Arabidopsis thaliana: one gene and its partners. The protein of the gene in region 2 purifies or fractionates together with the protein of the main gene of each other region. This does not show direct contact. Each region holds a gene or a part of one and is shown on either strand. Other genes may lie near its edges. The genes, in order: ROC2, CAM6, MAPKKK20 and WRKY53.

Region 1 (5,302 bases), on a different chromosome or scaffold from region 2:
GTGTGTCTATGACCATCCCGGTCAAATATCGTACCACCAAATTTAGTCCCAACGATATGTTCGTACGTGAAACCATTGTATGGAGTCACACCAGCTTCCAAAAGCCCATCTCGAAACGCTGATTGCCATTTGTTAACCGGTGGTTCAAAAACCACTTTCTTCTCGACCCACTCGTAAGCCGCTTCGACCTCGTCTCTCTCCCATCCTGCTTCCGCCACGAAATCTTCTTCCGCACGTGAGTAGAATCCTGCGTTTATGACTGTGCCTCCACCGAGTACACGAGCGCGTGAGTTGAAAACGCCGTCTTCGGAGATGAAAAGCTGCGACCATGAGTTTGGAGTTATGTTCAAGAGTGTGTTTGCGAAGTTTCCGATGTCTGTTGCCGCTGGATCGTCGTAAGGGGAACCTCCGCGTTCGAGGACTAGAACGGTTGCGTTTTGAGAGAGCGTTGCGGCTAATGCACATCCAGCGGTTCCTCCTCCGATGATTATGTAGTCGAAGTGAGATAACTTTGGTGCTAATGTTGCATCTTTCATAAATCTATAGTTTCCAGCTACACGAAAACATATTTTTCATAAAGTTGGAGTTCATATTAGTACACTAAGGTAAGGTATAACAAAAAAAAAAAAAAAAAAACATAAGTTGAATGATTGGTAAAAGGAAACTAAAAATTCACGTACCTTCATCGGAATAACACGAGTCGTGGAAGATGAAAACTGCGACGAGGATAAATTGAAAAAATCGAAAGATATGAAAATTCATTATAGAGGAAGATTATAGGTTTGGTTCTTTATCTATTGGGGCCAAGGAAAAAAAATATGCTATTTATAAACCAACATTTAGAAAAGAAAAAACAAACAGGAACATCTCTCACGGTTGCGGCAAAAGTCTTATTCGATGATAACCTGGCTTCGACCTCTTTATTTTTTCTAGCACATTTAAGTCAACGGATTATAGTATTTTCCATCTTAGACTTTGATTTGTTACATAGTAATAATTATACTTTTAACCCCAGGGTCCTTATTATACAAAGTTTAAGTTTTTTTGTTGTTGTTTTCCAAAAAAATGATGATTTGACCAAATCAAATTATTGTGGTAATTTTGACGAGGTGGTGCAGCATGGCTGGCCACTATGTTGGAATCCAAGTGGTCAAGAAATGTGAATAAAATGGTTTTAAGAAATGTATAAAATAACGAAGCTAATACCAAAGAGTTGGCTAGACTTTAAGTTACATTAATTGCCAAGGCAAACTAGTTGTTGGAGTATTTAAAGAAGACTGTCCAAATATTGTTGGCTATTGACTATTGATGCTGAAACTTAACCATAAGTAGAAACTACTCAAAGAAATGTGTGATGCGTTGGCTAAACAATATTTATCATCACATGATCAGAAAGTTTATCTTGTTCTGCATATGAAGTGAAATCTGCCCAATTCGAAAAGTCAGCAATTTTGGATACATATTCGCAAATGAGTCCTAAGAAGAGTTTGGTTCATTCATATTAACTACACCAAAATAAGAAAGCTACAAAACCAAATGTCTTCATAAAGAAACTAACCATTATTATCATCCATCCTATTCTCACACAAGAGTTTTAAGAAAACAACTTACAAGGATGGACCACTTCCTAAGGTTCATATGATATAGTCAAAACCAAAGTAGTGCATCACAGACTAGATTGACCTTAACGCTAAGATGCTGTCTCTGCTTCACAGCATATGATAGAATAACCTGTCAAGATCAACCCACCCAATGTTTTAAGAACTTATGAACTTGGGTTCTTGAGCTCACCACAATCTTCAATCACAACTCGTTCAGAAGGATTTCCCATGTCAGAGCCAACATCCTCCATTGCCTTGACCACATTGTATCCATCAACAACTTTCCCGAAAACAACATGTTTCCCATCAAGCCACGAAGTCTTCTCTGTGCAGATGAAGAACTGAGAACCATTAGTGTTGGGACCAGAGTTAGCCATAGACAAAATCCCTGGACCAGTGTGCTTCAACTTGAAGTTCTCATCTTCAAATTTAGACCCGTAAATAGATTCTCCTCCAGTTCCATTCCCACGAGTGAAATCTCCACCTTGACACATGAACCCTGGGATTATACGGTGAAAGGCTGAGCCTTTGTAGTGTAAAGCCTTCCCTGCTTTCCCAATACCATTCTCCCCAGTGCACAAAGCACGGAAATTATTAGCTGTTCTCGGAGTCACATCTGCAAATAACTCCATTACAACACGCCCTGCCTTCATCTTACCAATCAAGATGTCGAAGAAGACTTTAGGATTCGCCATTTTACTCTGTCAATTACAAAGATATGAATCAGCAGATGGTCCCAAATTCTAATTGGTATATAAGAGACTAAATCATGCAAACAAAGGTCCCAAATTGTTCAAACAACAACAATTGTGAGATTACCACTCTATGAGCACCTTAAAGTAAACTAGATAAAACCCAAGTGGTACTATTTTCCGATCAATGCAGACGAATAAGGATTCAATTATTCAGATCTGACTCAGATTTTCTCATACAATGTTAAAAATCATAAAACCGATTAATAAATGTCCCATCCATCGAAATTGTCGATAAGAAAAGATAAATTCTTATAACACAGAGATTTATCGAAACCTCAAATGGATGGTTTTAGGATATTGCACAAATATTGAGCTCGCAGGCGTTTTTTATTATACGTTATCTGCAAGCCTTCGATATGTGCTTTTAACGCGATAAAACGCAAAATCGAAGAAATAGAGAAGCAAAAATCATCGAAAACATGAATTGGGTTCACCGAAATGAAGTACCTTTGCAGAGGCAATCTCAAATTCGTCTTCTCAAGGAGCGAGTGAAGGATTTATATAACGGCTCAATGGCACAAGGGCTTTGGGGGCTAGGGTTTTACTAGGGCTTTTGATTGTTTGAGTTGAGACAGAGAGATCTGTTTTCTCGGTTTTGCCCTTTTTTATTTTCTTACCGTCACAGTCTCATCAAAAAGCCCATATGATTCAGGCCCATTATTAAAACTACCATCCAAGAAATATAATCGTTTCGTTGGACTTGGACCCAACAACAAACCCCATTTCACATTGGTTCGTGTGAGCTAATTAAAGCTTTAATAAGCTATCTAATTTCAATCTCGTGTTGCTATCTTAATAAGCTCTTTAACAACATAAATCTCAATGTTTTGAGATTGCTTTCAAAGTTAACTATTTGATGTTCATTACAAGAGACTATATATATATGAACCTAGTTGCTTAGATCTAATTAAATGAGCTTTGGAAAATAAATTACATAGGACACTTGGGCTTTTCGGATGATTTATAATCTTGGCCTTATTATGAATGCTCTAATAAAACAAGAAGAAATGGATTCTCTGGTCGCTTGGACTTGTGTTAGTGGTTTATTAGCAAAGAGAAAGTGTCCAACAACAGAAGTGCAACAGAAGTGCAGAGTCTTTCCGAAAAATCAGATCATAGAACAATGCTTTTGAAGAGATGGTTATTAGGTGGACAAGACTCTACATTATATATTATAATATTCAGATTATCTTTATACTATTAACCACTCCATAATGTTACAAACAACCAATCTTAATGTAAAAAGTGAAAAACTAAATGAGAAGCAATATCAGATATTATAGAGCTAATAAGATTCTTCTTTTTCCTCTCTAACTCTCTTTCTTCAAGACCGATCTCACCCAATGATAAGTGAAATGGGGCGACGATAAGACTTCTTCCTCTCAATATTTACTCTAATGACTTCAGCATCCTTTTGACTTCAGATGTTTATAAGGTGGACAAGAGTCAGCACTAAACAGTATGTAGTATAATATTTGACGTTCAAACTATCTTTATACTACTAATCACTCTACAGTGTTAGAAATAGACAATTTTAATGTAAAACGTGGAAATCATCGATTAGGAAAAACAAATGTTTTCAATTATGGTTGGACTGTTGAGGGTTTCAATTATATTGACCACCAGAGCTAACCAAATATCATTTTCTGATTGACTTCCCTCAGAATATCTTATACTGATTCCTGAATATCTTTTTAAAAGGGCTTTTCGGATGTCATCTTTAATACCAGAAATAGACTTAGGATTCTTTGACCAAAGAGAAATAGTTCAGATGTGTATGCTATAGATTTTTTTGCACAAACTCTGAACCTATCTTTCAATCTAATAGGTTATGATGGAGGTAGATCATTTTATAAAGTGATTTAATCCATGAACCGATTACTCATTTTAACATCTAGTTAATCAAATTTAAATTATTTTTGAAAAATCACAATGGCAATTTTAGTAGTTTATGCTGAAATTCACATAATTATTTTACTTAGATAATAGTATTAATTATCCGGTGATTATCCAAATCACTATTCTGAAATAATGAAATTATATAATGGTCCGGTGATTATCCAAATCGTCATTTCATTAGTTTCATTATTGATTTCATAAAATAACTCAATGTCTTTAATATTATTCGTAAATGTCTCTTTTAATCTTATGTGTTATTTTATATGTCATTTTAAAAAATTGTCAAAACTCTCTAAAATTTTAAATCGTCAAAATCATCTAAATTTTTATCTAAACTCAAATCACTTCAACTCCTTCATCAAATCACTTCACTTCAAATCATTGGAATTTTGCATTGAAACAAAATATAATATTTATTTCCAAAACATATTCATTTGATTTTGGATCTATTTGTTTGAGCCATAGATGGAGAATCTGCTGACGGAAATATATACCCGGCGTCAATGTTGTTCTTGGTATGGATTTCGTTCCATTTATTTGCTTGTTTTAGACAGAGAGATGTTTTCTTCGTTTTGCCCTCTTATTTCACTATTTTACATTTTTGCTTTCAATAACAGTTGTCCAAAAAGAAAAAAAAAAGAAAAAACTTTCAGTAACAGATCAAAAAGCCCATATTAAGATTTAGGCCCATTATATAAACTCCGTCCGCGATTGAATTCAATCGGTTCGTTGGACCCAACAACAAACCCAATTTCAAGTTCGTTTTACTCATACCATGTCTTTTTTTTTTAACTCATACCATGTCTTCTAAAAATCAAAACTAAAACTGAATCAAATGGAAGGAAAAATATTATATTTATACTTCAAACTTTATAGTTAAAAGACACATTATCACAAGAATCTAACGTTTAACTTGATTCCTATAAGGCTATACTTTCCAAACCAAAAAAAAACTTCAAATTAAGAGTATCCGCACCAAAAATCATTGAACAGCCCTAATCAAAACGAAAATGAACAAGATTTGTTAAAGAGAATGATGAATGTTGT
Region 2 (5,416 bases):
ATGGATCAAGTAACAATTATAAATCCATTGGGAGGGATTAAGGAAAACTCACAATTTTGTCAAAAAGCTCTCCACCAGTGCCGAACTCTAGAACAATATATATCTTAGTCTTGCTCGCCAAAACCTGGAACGGTATCAATCATTTCCTTAAAAGTTAGCTTCAGCACATTGGCTTCACATACAAAGAGCTCTAAAGCAAGCCAAAGAAAAATAGAGACACAAATAGAAAAATGGAGATATACCTCATACAGCCGCACTACATTTGGATGGTTTATCAGCTTCATAGTACAAATTTCTCTCCTTATCTGTAAAAACAATCAGGAAAGACACACATCATACTTTTGGACTGAAGATGCATCTAGTATATTATCTTATTAGGAAAGAGAGTTACCTGTTCAGCCATCTTATGCTTAAGAACCTTCTCCTTATCAAGTATTTTGAGAGCCACGCGTTCTCCTGTCTCAGTATTAACAGCACACCGAACTTTCGCAAAAGTGCCTTGTCCAAGCGTCTTTCCAACCTCATACTTTCCAACACGACGCTGAACCTTTGGCCGATTCATCACTCCGAATGTTCACCTCTTGATCTTCAAAAGCTGTTTTTGGAAAATGTAATCTCGCATATAAGAATGATTCCATGAAAAGAATCCAACACAACAACAGGCAAGATAGTGTTTCTTTGCTCAATTCACGGAAACTAAATGCAAAAAAAGTGAAAGAAACCGTCAAGAAAAGAACAGTAATATGCCACAGAATTCAATAAAGACAAAGCGTAAAAACAGCTGAAAATCCACAAGGCAATGACAAATCTAGCAGCGGAGATTTTCTCCGGAAATTCCGATCATCCTTTTTAATTACTCCAAAAACAGCCTAAATCTCTAGAATCATGACTTAGATAAATCATATATTGTTCAAGCAAGCATCTACAAATCCAAAATTCTCCACTAAACCAATATTTGTACTGATACACAATTGAAGCGAGATTCTCGAGTTAGCTACAGAACTAATCATCATCACCATCATATAATATAGAGATTATGCACACTTTACACATAAACCAAAAGCGTAAGCAACTCTCTAAGTTACCGAATTACTCATCGAATTCGAAGCAAAAACATGGAGAATCGACCAACAAACCTGCAAAATTGGACGGAGAAAAGTGAGCGAGTAGAGGTGACAAAACCGATGTAGCCGCCTTTGGGGAGCTCAAGAGTTAGCAGGAGAAATTCAAAAGAAAATCTATGGCGGAGAATTCGCAGGAGAAATAAAAAAATGATGGGCTAATACAAGGAGCAACAAGAGATAGAGATGCGACGAAAGAGATACGATGATTGTAGAGAAATTTGTAGCTAACAGACAAAAACTTATTTAATTTCGTGTAGGGACTCTCTCACTTTAATGGACACTTGTTTTTTAATTTTTTTTTTTCGTATGGGACAATTATACGTTTCTTTCCTTTGTTAAGCTCCTCAATTTTCTTAAGAAATAAAATTATGTTTTTTGCCTTTTTTGGTCAATTATTTTGGGTTAATTAATGTAATGACAAAATATTTGAGTATTCAGATTTTGACTAGATATGGACCTAATCAATAGGTGTTTTTTTTTCTTTCTCATTTGAGTTGTTTCTAAGTAATCGATGAATTCTTATGTTTTTGTTACAGACCATTTAAAAAAAAAAATAGTTGTAACTGATTTTATCCACTATTATATATTTTTAAGTCTTAACTCTGAAGTATATATGAGTTTTTTGTAAGAAAGAAAAACCGTTGCTTCTTCACTCTCACTTACTTACTAGTCACTACAAAGTTCAACAAAAGTCATACATTGCAACCGTTTTGTGTAGTGTCAATGGTTATAGACTGATGACAATTATTAGAACATTGAACAAATCATCAACGGCAAAAGCTCATTAGACTCATTTGTAGCGAGTACATATATATTCTAGAGGTGTGGAATAATAAGACTCATATAAATGATCGAACACTCTTTTTGTTTTTAATATAAAAACTAAAAAAATTTAAAAACAGTTTACTTGGAAAAAATGTAGAGATATTGACTAACTTTTTTATTAAGTATCCATTTAAATTAAAACAAAACATGTAAAATCGATTCAAGTTTAACTATTTCTACAAAAAAGTGTATTCATGTAAAATTTTTGCTTATACATATCCGTTTCTGTAACGTAAATTTAGAGGATACTCTAATCATTTCATATGTATCCATATATTATTTTTTTCAACATATTATAAGTTTTTTTTTAATTTTCCAAATTAATTAATATCCTTAAATATCTATCCTAGTTTAAAAACTTTTTATAATTAAATATTTAAATGAAAAAAATAATGTCAAAAGTTTAATTGATATACTGTAAAATATTCTACTAAATCAGTTTTGAAAATAGTCAAAAAAAATTAATAATTGTTAATTTGATAGATTTATTACCTAGTATATATGTCTAAATTAACTGCAAAGGTTATAGTTTTCTTTATAATTGTCTTAAAAAACTAAACTAAAAAGACAAAAAAATCATAAGAATTACTGAATTAGCTAGTAAATCTTTAGAGGCCCAACCATAAGTTGTTGGGCTCTCTCTCTTTTATAAGCTCTCTTGCTGAATTATTATTAGAGAGGCAAATAATATATTCAGTAGCAAAAAAAAAATCTGGGATTTCTAAAAAAAGGTAAGAAGGAAAATGGCGGATCAGCTCACCGATGACCAGATCTCAGAGTTCAAGGAAGCCTTTAGCCTCTTCGATAAGGATGGTGATGGTATGTTTCTTTCCCAGATCTTTGCGTTTTTTCCCCGATGATTACTCCGTCCGTATACGAGTTCTGGAATTTGTTTGACAGATTTATGATCTTCTTCAGTTTTCTGTATGATTCGTGTTTGTTTCACTTGTGAACGATCTAGCTTTTGGCTAATTCGATAGCGATTCATGACTCACGCTGTGTTTTGTTCTTGTTCTGGTTCAGTCTCGTGATGCAGCAATGAAATGTTTTGGGAAATTTATCCATATGTTGAGATTTTGAGTAGTTTAATTGTTGAAAAAAGGATTGATGTTGTAGATATCAGGAATGTATTCTGCTTTGATTGGTGAAAAACTTGCAAAATTCTGTTGTGCATTATTGGCCTTTGCACGGTGAGATGTGGGTTCAATAGAACGAAGTGGCTAGGGTTTTGATTCTGGCTTTGATACCATGTAAAGAGATTTGGAGAAGAATATTGTGTCTTTTTAATACACATGATTCTAGATTTGCTAGTACACACACATAAGGAAAGACGGAATAAACACAGAATATTTCTTTTACCCTAACACTTTAGGTAGGACTTGGAAGAGTGATTATTTTTAGTTTGTATGAATGGAGTTTCTTTGTTAACTTAGTAGGACTTTGTTGAATGAAAAAAAATCATTCTCTTTTTTACTTACCAGATCTTCATCAGTCGAAATAAGAAATACAATGGCTTTTGTTTGTTGACTGTGGATATAAGTCTGTCTCTAAAAGCTTATTATACCTGAATCTGGTTGCAGGTTGTATCACCACCAAGGAGCTCGGAACCGTGATGAGGTCTCTGGGGCAAAACCCAACAGAAGCTGAGCTTCAAGACATGATCAATGAAGTTGATGCAGATGGGAACGGGACCATTGATTTCCCGGAGTTCCTGAACCTGATGGCAAGGAAAATGAAGGACACTGATTCAGAGGAAGAGCTCAAGGAAGCTTTTAGGGTTTTTGATAAAGACCAGAATGGTTTCATATCTGCAGCAGAGCTTCGACATGTCATGACAAATCTCGGTGAGAAGCTATCCGATGAGGAAGTTGATGAGATGATCCGAGAAGCGGATGTTGATGGCGATGGTCAGATTAACTATGAAGAATTCGTCAAAGTCATGATGGCTAAGTGAGAGAATTTTATCTTAAGCCCACAAAAAGAAACAAGATTTATGATTTCTACAGTGAAGTTACATTATGACTTGATTCTGGTTGCGTTCTTTAGGACATCATTTTGCTTATTTCCCTTGTTTGTTTGGTTAAGCCTTTTAGTGTTATGTGAAGTATGAACTCATATTTTGCTCTCTTTTTTGGGCATCTGATTTTATTCTGTAAATTTTTGTTAGTTGTTGTTTATCTTAAAGCAATGCCCTAAAATTTGGCCGCGTTTAAAATACCAGTAAGAGAATTGACCAACGAAAACGATTTTGCAACATCGCCAACGTTATTGTTATTTTACATGAAAAATATAGTAGTTATATGTATCAATAAAATTTACAAACCATTTTGTTTCTTAGTTTGTAAACCGTAAGTCCCTAACCTTCAAACCTTTTTTCCATTAGGATCATCAAAATTGGAAATTCTTTAGAAACAAATGTAAGTAGCCTCTAAATCTATTGTTGTCTAAAAGTTTTTTAAATGATCAAAGAGGTTGTAAACCTAATTTCGTACACTCCCTGATGCTAGAGAGACCAAAAGATGTAATGTGACCATCTCCCAAACGAAAATTGGACTCTTGACCTCTAGGTCCAGAGACTCTTTAGTCAACTAAGTTTGTTGGTGGATGCTTGGTTTATATAGGGTCAATGTTAACCCGATCCAGATAGCGAACCGGACTACCTTATAGGTCATCAGATCATCGTATTCACCCGCGGGTCAAATTATTATAATTTATTCTATAGAGATTATATAGTTTTATAAAGAGAAATTGCCTCAAATATCACATAATCAAGTTTTTGGGACACAATTAGCACCAACTTTTCGATTAAGAAACAAAAAAATACAATCTAACATTATCCATCTCATTGTCTTGCTTGTTAAACACCATATTTTTCATTTAACTGAAAAAGTATATCTGTACAGAAAAATAAATCTTAAAAATCGATCGACACCAATCTTTGATCAGCTTTTCTTACCCTTTAATTTAGCTCCATCTCTACAGCAAAACAAATTCTACATGAACTTACAAAATCTCCCGGCTTCCCCAATCTGGTCTCTGCACAACACCACCAAAAGAGTCTGCCTCAAACCAAACTGAGACTTGATACATAGCTTTGGTTTTTCAGGCATTCCTTTTAAGAACAATGGACTTCTCGACGAGGCGATATTATTTGGGATATTGAGTTTAGAGGAAGTTGAGAAGGAAGAGCCCAATGTATTGGCATCATTACTATTAGAGACACCAATAGATTTCCATCCATCAGCTATGAGTTGCATAGTTTTCCTTGTGGGAACAACATTCTTCCCTTCCATGTCTTTCAGAAGCTCTTCTGCTTTCCATGGCTGCTTCGCTTCCCCAAATCCCCATATAAGAGTCTCGTAAGTAGTCAAGTTAGGCGATAAACCAACGATTCCACACATTTTCTTATATACCTGCATCGCTTTCTTCATTTCACCAGCACTGCACCAACCGCTTATGATCTGTGT
Region 3 (5,130 bases), on a different chromosome or scaffold from region 2:
GAAACGAACAGGGCCTTAGACTGTATATATTTTCCGAAACGCAAGTAGGATGATACCATTTGAATATCAGAACTGAATATATAATATGTTAAGTGAAAACTGACATAACAATAATCATGCGTTAATAGCAAGCGACGGTTGAAGACTATAATGTGTAGGATACAGAAGAATCATAGAATTCTTCTTTGTTACAACAGAGATAATTCTAAGCAGATAGGAAAAAAGTATCAACTACGATAAAAGCAGCCGAAAGAACAAAAAGAAAAGAAAATTCGGAGTATGTGATTGGTTCATGGTACCCAAACCAAAAAAAGAATAAAAGAGCTCCGCAAGTCGCAAGATCTTTCTTTATCCATTTATACAGAGAAATATAAAACTCTATATATATATATTATCGAGGAAGATATTTGTTAGAAGAATAAAAATACTAATAAATATGCAAGAAAATCTAGGAACAAATAAATAACTAAATTGGTGGAAAGAACATGCGAACATGTGACGGTGACGGAGTGACGGCTAAGGAATTTAAGGATAATACTAACTTCTCTGACCTCAAAGCTCGCGTTACTCTACGTTTCGAGTTTTGTGCGTTCGTCACCGTCAGATTCCGTTAATGTCCGTTATATATCTTCTTTTTAAAATTATTATAATCAGCAAAAAATCATGATATTTGTTTTAAATATTATTATTAGTATAGATTTTATGAAAATTTAAGAGCCGCAACTTGCGAAAGTTTGTTATTACTCTCTCTGTTTGGTATCGAAGACTTCAGGTCTGATTCCGACAATAAAGAAAGAAAAGAAACTAAACTTCACTCTGAAGCACTTCTTTGCCGTTCTTGACCACTCATTTATTCATTTACTATTCACCCTAACTTTTATATAGTTGAGGTGCGCCGCAATTTATTTCATGACAATCTTGCAACCTTCTGATCAATAACAAGAAAAGAACTTTGTTTTAATTTCTTGGTTAAATTTTATTGTTATATTGCCAATTCTATAGAAGAAAGTAGAAACTAATTAATCAACAAAACAAAATTGTGTGTAAACGTTTATCTATAGAGCAATATCAAAAACGTCACTTACACCCATATGTGAGTCATTGTAACAAAACTATAGTTGGGATAAGATATTTCTAACAGTACATATATTGCTCTGTAGATACTAAAAATGTAGAAACCATAAAGCAAAGGGATATATGAAAGATTGAAAGTATATGTAAAATCATGATAGAGTATTATTTTTATATGATTCTCATGCAATCATGCCATTACGACCTACAAATTAACGGACGGCCAAGCAAGTTGTTGTTGTTGTGAAAACTTCTAAATCAAGCATTTTTTTAACGATAAAAGTAAAATGTATCGTAAAGTCGTGACTAATAAAATATTAGCAAGAAGAATAATGATTGGAAGAATTGTCGGATAAAGTCATATGTTGAAGCATCAAAATCTGTTGAATTGCTATTGGAATTTGTAAGCAAACAATAAAATACAAACTATAGTACAATTCACATGTGACAACTTCATTGTATTCAGCATTTTTTCGTCTATCAATATTAGTATTTGAAAATAAACATGCAAATTGCAGCTGCTATTTAACTATCTATTTTTATTTATTAGTTTATACAAAAAAAAAATTATACTGCTTTTTTAGTAATAATCTTCTTAGTTATTGTTTTAGTGGATATCCCGAAAAGACATTAACTTTGAACTGATTTTACATAAATTATATATACAAGAAACAATTACATATAATCAATATTATATTATCGTTTTACATCATTGATCTATAACTAATCATATGCTAGTAGTTGTTGAGAAAAATAATTATTAATGCTAGTTAAAAAATAGTTATATAAAGTTAAAAAATGATGTATTTAACAAAATTGTGTGTGTTTTATTTAGTCTTTATATATTCGTTTAAGAAAACACTGGGAGAAAATGCAATAACGTTACTAAATTGAGAAGGAATTGATTCTTGGAATCACCAAACAACACCACAAACCTCAACTTGCAATTTTTATAATTTTATCTTATCAAGTATCAACGTCCTTGAAAGAAGACCAACCTCATTGGTAATACTCTAATAGTCTAATGGATGTCTTAAGCATAATTTGGTTAACTAATACTAATCGTCGTAGATTGGTTAATAAACTTAAGGTCAAGCTTCCGTTAAAGATTGACCATCAAATTTCTTGATTTCAAATCCTAACACCATTTAGAAAGAAAGAAAGAAAAAGTAAATGTGTTTTTCTTTTTGTCAATAAGTAGTACTCCTTAAAATTTAAATATTGGTAAATGATACACTGATATGGGAGTAATTAACCTAAAGATTCTGTAAAATCTCGTAGTAACCAAAACCAAAGTCATGCGATAATATTGATTTTCCCAAGTTAATAAATATTTTGTTACTAAATTTCGTTTTTAGCAGCCCAACGAGAAAAATATCAAATATCCGCTTTCATCACGTGCATTAATTACCCCAAAAATTCAAGACTAAGGAAAACAAATATCACAATTAAAAATAATAAAAACTTGATAGTATATAATGAAGAAGTTCCACCATAAGGCACAATTAACCGTCACGAGCTACATGCTCTGTATCTTCAGATTTCCTAAATACTTACAATTCCCATTCCAATTCTGATTTGGTTAATCCAAAACAAAAAAAAAGGAAACTTTCTTTTACCCTAAATCTATAAAAACGAAACCCTTCTTCACAAATCTTTGTTCTTCGTAATCTCTCTTAAAAGCTTTTGTTTCAATTTCAATGGAGTGGGTTCGAGGAGAAACAATTGGGTTCGGAACCTTCTCTACTGTCAGTACAGCGACAAAGTCTAGAAACTCCGGCGACTTTCCTGCACTTATCGCTGTGAAGTCGACGGATGCTTATGGCGCCGCTTCACTCTCCAACGAGAAATCGGTGTTGGATTCACTCGGTGATTGTCCTGAGATCATACGGTGTTACGGCGAGGATTCAACGGTGGAGAACGGAGAAGAGATGCATAACTTGTTATTAGAGTACGCTTCGAGAGGAAGCTTAGCGAGTTACATGAAGAAACTTGGCGGTGAGGGTTTACCGGAGTCCACCGTGCGTCGCCACACAGGATCAGTGCTTCGAGGGTTACGTCACATCCACGCTAAAGGGTTTGCACACTGCGATATAAAACTCGCGAATATTCTGTTATTTAACGACGGCTCTGTTAAAATTGCCGATTTCGGTTTGGCGATGAGAGTTGACGGAGATTTAACGGCGTTAAGAAAAAGTGTGGAGATTAGAGGGACGCCGTTATACATGGCACCGGAATGTGTTAATGATAACGAGTATGGATCAGCGGCTGACGTGTGGGCTTTAGGATGTGCTGTAGTTGAGATGTTTAGTGGCAAAACGGCATGGAGTGTTAAAGAAGGATCACACTTCATGTCGCTTTTGATACGTATAGGTGTTGGTGATGAGTTACCGAAGATTCCAGAGATGTTGTCCGAAGAAGGCAAGGATTTTTTGTCGAAGTGTTTTGTTAAAGATCCAGCGAAAAGATGGACGGCTGAGATGCTTTTGAACCATTCGTTTGTAACCATTGATCTTGAAGATGATCACCGAGAAAACTTCGTTGTGAAGGTTAAGGATGAGGATAAAGTATTGATGTCTCCAAAGTGTCCTTTTGAGTTTGATGATTGGGATTCTTTTACATTGGATTCAAACCCCTCGTTTGATTCTCCGGTGGAGAGACTTGGGAGTTTGGTTAGTGGTTCGATCCCTGATTGGTCTGTCGGTGGGAGTTGGCTTACAGTCCGGTGATGAAAGTTATATGAAAACAGAGGAAAAACAGTGTGTTTGGAAGGCTAGGGCTTTTTTTTAGCACCTAGTTAGACCCATTCTACGATTCTTGTTCGTATTCTTTAGGTGTAATTGATTTGTTAATACAATTCATTCTAGTGTTCCTTGACTTGCTTTTGTTGTGTTATTAAATTTTGAGGATTTAGTAGCTCGTTAATACAAGAGATATGATCATAATCAATCCATCAAAAAAGTGGTTTAGAAAAGGAAAGAGAAGAGCAAAATTGGTGTGTTGAGAGTAAGATTAAAGAATGTTATTGACAGAGGATAGTTCGTGGCCACCACACGACAGCTTACTTGAATACTTTGCTTCAAGTAAAACAAGCTTCTCTTGCACCATATACTCTGCTCAACACGATAGCATTTTGGATCCCTCGTCGCTGTTAATTGAATTTAGGCCCATTTGGTTTTAAGAGGCCCGTTATGTTTCGATAGCTTTATTTATTGACACAGCCCACTCGATGATTGTTAATATGTTATTTATTAGCCATCAAACCTTGTAACAACAATATCTTATGGAATGTGACCCAATGAAAAAAGTACTTTTTGGTTTAAAAGTTAAGAACCAATACAAGTAGTTGTCATTAGAAAATCTTCATCTCTGAGTATGGACTTGTGTCACAAAATGGCTTCAAACTGATATATATGATTTTGTGTTTGCGTCATCTTGTGTTTGTCCCATTTCAATTCAAAAGTGATTGTGTATTTGACTTAGGTCGGTGCAAGTCTATGTACATTTTGAAGCTCTATATATTCTCTCGCAGTTAAGAGTTTCTATTCTAATAAGCTTTTCATATGCGCAGTTGTTGAGTATTGTGAGTCAGATAGTTGTTGAGTATTGTGAGTCAGATAGGGAAAGACATAACATAAAGGAATCTAATCAAGAGATAAAAATTTATCAAATTCATAGTTATTCTAATTCGGTTAGAGCATTTTCATTGGACAAATAATGAGGATGTCTTTAATTATAATAAGAATAAAAAAAGAATAAAAATAAAGTTTATCGGAGAAAGATGATGTCTCTCCACATACACTAAGAGCAAGTCCATCGGCAGTTTTTAATGAGTTTCTAGCTAATTAAAAGTCCAAAACTAAATGAAAACCCAACTAAATAGTTAGGATCGATCCCAATATTAGTTTTTTTGGATGGGTTTAGAGACGCCGACGTGGTCGACTGACTGTAAGTCGTCGAAAAACAAAAAAAATTACAACACTCATGTTTTCCTTTTTCCTCTCGTTTTTCACTTCTTTGTTTTGTCCGACGGCCGGCGATTCGAATCGATTTGATCTC
Region 4 (5,344 bases), on a different chromosome or scaffold from region 2:
ACGAGGAAAGGTACCAGGTTGAGAAAGAAGCTTACCTCCAGGTCATTGCTAAGGAGAAGCGCGAGAAGGAGGCCATGAAGCTTCTGGAGGATGACCAGAAGCAGAGAACTGCAATGGAATTGCTTGATCAGTATCTCAACTTTGTCCAGGAAGCTGAACAGGACAACAAGAAGAAGAACAAGTAAAAACCAAAAGTCTTAGTGACTATATCAATTTGATCATCAATAGTAAACTAACTAGAGCTGTTTATGGTTTGCAGGAAGGAGAAGGACCCTCTGAAGCCAAAACATCCCGTATCTGCCTTCCTTGTTTATGCAAACGAGAGGAGAGCTGCTTTACGCGAAGAAAACAAAAGCGTCGTGGAGGTAAATCTAATTACTTAATTCGTTCTCCAGATCAGTTTTTGTCAAATTGTGAAGCTAACTTATGGAGTTTAAATGTGGTTATAGGTCGCAAAGATCACTGGAGAGGAGTGGAAGAACTTGTCAGACAAGAAAAAGGCACCCTACGAGAAGGTCTGTTTCCATACAAATATGCTTGCATTTCACTGCCATTAAAGACTTAAGACTGAATGATTGAGGTATTCTTGTTTAAATAGGTGGCAAAGAAGAACAAGGAGACATACCTGCAAGCAATGGAGGAATACAAGAGGACAAAGGAAGAAGAAGCCCTGAGTCAGAAGAAAGAAGAAGAGGAACTCTTGAAACTCCACAAACAAGAAGCTCTTCAAATGCTTAAGAAGAAGGAGAAAACTGATAATCTGATCAAGGTAATAACTCTCTCTCACTCACACTTAACTCACCAAGGTCTATTTCAACTCAGAGACTCACAGGATCATAATTATTTGTCTCTTGCAGAAGGAGAAGGCGACCAAGAAGAAGAAGAACGAAAACGTTGACCCTAACAAACCAAAGAAGCCTGCTTCTTCATACTTTCTCTTCAGGTATGAACTTACTTCAAGTTATAATCCGAATTGGTCTTTATAGAAAGTTCCTAACTTATCATGTTTTTACAGCAAGGACGAAAGGAAGAAATTGACAGAAGAACGTCCCGGGACAAACAACGCTACTGTTACTGCTCTCATTTCACTGAAATGGAAGGTATGAAAAATCACAATTACTAGCAACAAAACACATTGGCTTGTAACAATTTCCTGTTGTTAATCTATCTGTGCGAATACGTCTTTGCAGGAATTGAGTGAAGAAGAGAAGCAAGTTTACAACGGAAAGGCCGCAAAACTGATGGAAGCATACAAAAAGGAAGTGGAAGCTTACAACAAGAAGTCTGCGGCTACTACCAGTAGCTAGATAAATCTCTCTTAGTATTGAAATCATGTTCAAGTCCTGTTGAACATTCCTTATTATGCATCGTTAGATTACTCTAAGTACTTTTATGTTTTAACTCTCGCTGATCATTACTTACTAGTTACTATCTATTTCTCTGTTACAAATTTTAATTAATAATAAATCGACTCGTGTAAAAACGCGGGGAAAGTTGTGTCAATCTCGACCGTTGGATTGAACCAGTCAACAACGTCGAAGATCGGAGAACTCTCCACGTGGCCGAACTCGCCGTTGATAGTTCCGTAATTGTAAAACGGCGGCGTATCAGGGAACGAGAAAACGTCTTTACCATCATCAAGCCCATCGGTTCGAACGGTTAAGTTGGATTTAAGACTCTCGAGAATATCCTTTGGCTTTTGGGTAATGGCTGGTTTGACTCTGGTGTCTTGTCGCTTCTCCGGCGAGGCTAATGGTGGTGTTCTTGTGATCGCCTGCGAACAAGTGTGTGTTCCTCTGTACGTCACTTCGAAAACCGTAGCATCCCCGTCTGATCTCTGGACTTGTTTCGTTGCCCAACAGTTTTGTGTGCTACGATGTGTGCATCTGTAATAACTCCTTGGGAATTTGGCGCCTAAAATGTCTTTTTGACCATATTTTCTCCAGCTAAAGACATCATCTTGAGGTCCTTCTAAGCCTCTCTCTGGGCTTATTCTCACTTTTTCTGACCACTTTGGTAACATCTTTCTGCAAAAATTACCCAAATTTCAAATTAGTTTCTAGAAAAAATGAGATTTTTAAATTCAATTTGGTGAATTGTGAAAAAAGATATCAACAATTTGTTACCTTTTCTTTGAATTGAAAATGTAATCTTGGCGATGATGACTCTCGCTAGAACCTCCTCCATCGGCAAACTCTTCACTTCTCGGACTTCCGTTTATCGATGCCGGAGATTCTGGAACACTGCCGGGATTTGCCACCGGGACTACAGTAACCGGCGTCGGAATAAGTTGTACGCTCGGTGAGGATGACCAGTTTAGCAGAAGAAGAGATCTCTCGTAGGAAGAAACTATCTGCTTCACCAGAATCTCGTTAGTCTCAGCAACAGCCGTCGCCGGTGATGAAAATGATGACGACGGCGACGGAGCTTCTCTAAGTCGTGCCTGAAGCTTTTTGGCCGCATCAAATCCATTGATAAGCTCGCTTAGCAATGTCTTTTGCTCCCAACTTAACATATCTCTTCCTTCCATTTTTAGTATATGATTCCCAAAATAGATTTTTTTTTTCCTTTAGGTAGTTTACTCTAGGAAATTGATACAAACTATGATGAGAAAGATGTATAATGTGTGTTTTAAGTATAAATCAAGAATTGGTTATATAGATGGACTGAAAGAATGATATGATCAGAAAAATATAATGTGTGTTGAGTATAATTAAGAATGGGTTATATAGATTGAAGAATGATATGATGAGAATGAGAGTGTTATAGGATTGGTGATAAAAATGGATGAGTGTTGGTTTGGTATATAAAGGCATTGGATTTTCAGTGTTTGAAAATTTGACCAAATGACCAAACCATAAATAATTATTTTATTTCTTTTTAAAAGAGAGACAAAACTTTCAAATTGAAGAAAAGTCTTTGGTATAAGGAAGTATAGGGCCAGAGTGTAATTGATAAGTGGGGTGGTGGTAGTGAAAGAGTATAAGGTCAAAGGCTGACCAATTCAACATTTCAATTTTGTTAATGTAGTTGTAACCAAGTTTATCATTTATTTAACTATAGTGGGTTAATTATATAATTAGACAACAAAGGGTTATACAACTGTCTCTTTCAATGTACACTTTCAAAACTACGACTTTGTACATGTGATTAAGATTCTCTATTATTATATGTTTTTTTCTACTGTTAAAGAATTTCCAATATATGTTTTTTATTTGATTAAGAATATTTTCAAAATATGTTGGTTGATGCTTTACTAGTATGCATTATGCAACAACCTTTCTATGGATAATATTTCATTGCTATAACTATGAATTGTAATGATGTTTAATATCATTAATAAGGGAAAGGATATTCCACATTCTGTTTTAAGTACAAGTATCAAAACACATATTGGTAATTTGGTATAATACAATTCTTATTAACATTCAATAGATTAGCAATAACATAAAAATTATGTTGAATGAAATTTACTAAGATTTGATTGTTCTAGTTTTAAAATCATACACTTCTAAAAATAAGATATAAAATAAAAATCTGATGAGGATTAATTAATCTGTACAAAATTTCTTCCTAAAAACCCCTATATGTTTTTGTTTTGTGTCAATATATTTAAGCATACATTTGTTCAAGATATAATATTGTATTAACATGAAAAAATATAAATTTGTTTGGCAAAGAAAATAAATAATAGTTGCAGTCTAACAATATAACTAAATAATATTTAAAATGGTAGTTGCTTATACATATATAGTCTGTGAGTGATTATGTGAGCTATGTCAAGTTGTTAACTGTTTCTAAATAAGAAATATTAAACTCGAGAGGGGAAAATAATACAAATGGGTTTAATTTGGACAAATATATATGATATGTTCCATAAGAATATAATCTACAAAGTTATGTGATAATACACCAAGAGTATGACAAGGTTTTTGCTGACCAAGTCACCATGGAATTATCTCAAATAGTCATATAGGTGTGTGAATAAATATTTATTTATGGTTGAGACAAATGGCCATTAATTTGGACAAAATTTATTTATACATAATGATTGATATGTTCCAAAGAGAAAAGTAGAAAAAACCAGTCACTGTGTGATACGATATATACAATACAACAAGAGTATGATAAGGTCTTTGCTGACTAAGTCCAACATCAAGCTATCTAAAGTAGTCAGATCGATAGATGCATTCCATTCCAACATTCATTTCTTATGATTAATCCTTTTTAACTTTGTATGTCATCAAATATTATTCAATTGTAATTTGGACCTCTCATACGTAAGAAATAACCTTTGTAATAATTGAACCGTTATCCAAAAAGTTACAGCAAAAATCTCATAGCTGAAGTTGACACACACGAGTGTAGTGTACAGGACCAATAACCACTAAAAGGTTTATGAACCATATTTACCGTTTTACTAATGAAATGGTTACTTTTTTAAATTTGTTTTGGGTCAAAACTCACTCATGGGAATGGGATTACCAAAATCGTTTTCGATAGATTTGATTTGCGCAAAGTATAGTGTAGAAATAATTTGTTTTTTGGGTCGATATTCATAACATACATTTATTTATGTAATTTTACTTCAACGTAGGCCTTTTACAAAAGGAAAAAAAATCACTTCAACGTAGAAAAAACGTAATTCCAAAAAACAGATTTGTTGATTAATAAAAAGCAAGAAAAATCAAAAAGAAAATCAATATTCAAAAGGACAGGATTGGACCGAAGACATTTCAAACCTCTCTCCGCGTGGATTTTCCCTTTTATCATTCTTTTTTGTTTTCTAGTTTTAGTACTCCAAATGATATTTTAATTTTTATAATGGCGTCACTCTCTTTTGCGTCATTCATTCATTGTATTATTATTATTATTTGGATCTCATTCATCATTCATCCTTATAAAATGAATCTTGGCACTTTGCACCCTAAATTTGTATTTACACTTCATAGAATCAGCTGAAATTATGTAATTTGACATATTTGCATCCAAAACATAACTCTTGAAATCTTTGAATCAGCTCACAAGATAATGACGTAAGTTGACATATTATTTCTGCATTGCTTCATTACAAAACCAAGAAGATTTTTTTTGTATGATCTGTAAACTTTACGGCATTAAGTATCGCATTTATTTCTAATTACGCAACAGTATTTTGTGTGTGTGTGTCAACGCTGCACAGTATTTTTAGTAGAATGAAAAAAAAATATAATTTGCTATGCCAAATATCAGTAGCCAATTGGACTCGCTAAAAACAGCAATAAATTAGTAAAGTAGGAAAATGCCAAACAATTTAAAAAAAACTCATGTACGGAAAAACATTGCTTTCAATCCCTTTGATATA

What was found.
Region 1: the proteins of CAM6 (region 2) and ROC2 purify together in Arabidopsis thaliana (affinity purification with western blotting, with the first as the bait; one study listed by BioGRID). This does not show direct contact.
Region 3: the proteins of CAM6 (region 2) and MAPKKK20 purify together in Arabidopsis thaliana (affinity purification with western blotting, with the first as the bait; one study listed by BioGRID). This does not show direct contact.
Region 4: the proteins of CAM6 (region 2) and WRKY53 purify together in Arabidopsis thaliana (affinity purification with western blotting, with the first as the bait; one study listed by BioGRID). This does not show direct contact.

What each region holds. Positions count from the first base shown.
Region 1 is NC_003074.8:20,805,222-20,810,523, forward strand, and holds ROC2 (rotamase cyclophilin 2), read right to left. Parts: upstream 2,948-5,302; 5' UTR 2,804-2,947; exon of another isoform or gene 2,631-2,803; intron 2,303-2,630; 5' UTR 2,297-2,302; coding exon 1,766-2,296; 3' UTR 1,345-1,765; downstream 1-1,344. Other genes in the region: AT3G56060 (Glucose-methanol-choline (GMC) oxidoreductase family protein), read right to left, coding at 1-553, 681-762. UniProt on the Arabidopsis thaliana protein: PPIases accelerate the folding of proteins. It catalyzes the cis-trans isomerization of proline imidic peptide bonds in oligopeptides.
Region 2 is NC_003076.8:7,213,227-7,218,642, reverse strand, and holds CAM6 (calmodulin 6), read left to right. Parts: upstream 1-2,590; 5' UTR 2,591-2,692; coding exon 2,693-2,768; intron 2,769-3,529; coding exon 3,530-3,903; 3' UTR 3,904-4,169; downstream 4,170-5,416. Other genes in the region: CIPK26 (Ca2+regulated serine-threonine protein kinase family protein), read right to left, coding at 53-124, 243-305, 392-562; AT5G21222 (protein kinase family protein), read right to left, coding at 4,943-5,416. UniProt on the Arabidopsis thaliana protein: Calmodulin mediates the control of a large number of enzymes, ion channels and other proteins by Ca(2+). Among the enzymes to be stimulated by the calmodulin-Ca(2+) complex are a number of protein kinases and phosphatases.
Region 3 is NC_003074.8:18,646,966-18,652,095, reverse strand, and holds MAPKKK20 (mitogen-activated protein kinase kinase kinase 20), read left to right. Parts: upstream 1-2,574; 5' UTR 2,575-2,771; coding exon 2,772-3,800; 3' UTR 3,801-4,021; downstream 4,022-5,130. UniProt on the Arabidopsis thaliana protein: Mitogen-activated protein kinase kinase (MAPKK) that phosphorylates both MKK3 and MPK18 and regulate two separate signaling pathways involved in root microtubule functions.
Region 4 is NC_003075.7:12,391,210-12,396,553, forward strand, and holds WRKY53 (WRKY family transcription factor), read right to left. Parts: upstream 2,774-5,344; 5' UTR 2,531-2,773; coding exon 2,127-2,530; intron 2,028-2,126; coding exon 1,457-2,027; 3' UTR 1,308-1,456; coding exon of another isoform or gene 1,191-1,307; 3' UTR 1,161-1,190; downstream 1-1,160. Other genes in the region: 3xHMG-box2 (HMG (high mobility group) box protein), read left to right, coding at 1-181, 260-365, 450-515, 599-769, 858-943, 1,016-1,100, 1,191-1,307. UniProt on the Arabidopsis thaliana protein: Transcription factor. Interacts specifically with the W box (5'-(T)TGAC[CT]-3'), a frequently occurring elicitor-responsive cis-acting element. May regulate the early events of leaf senescence. Negatively regulates the expression of ESR/ESP.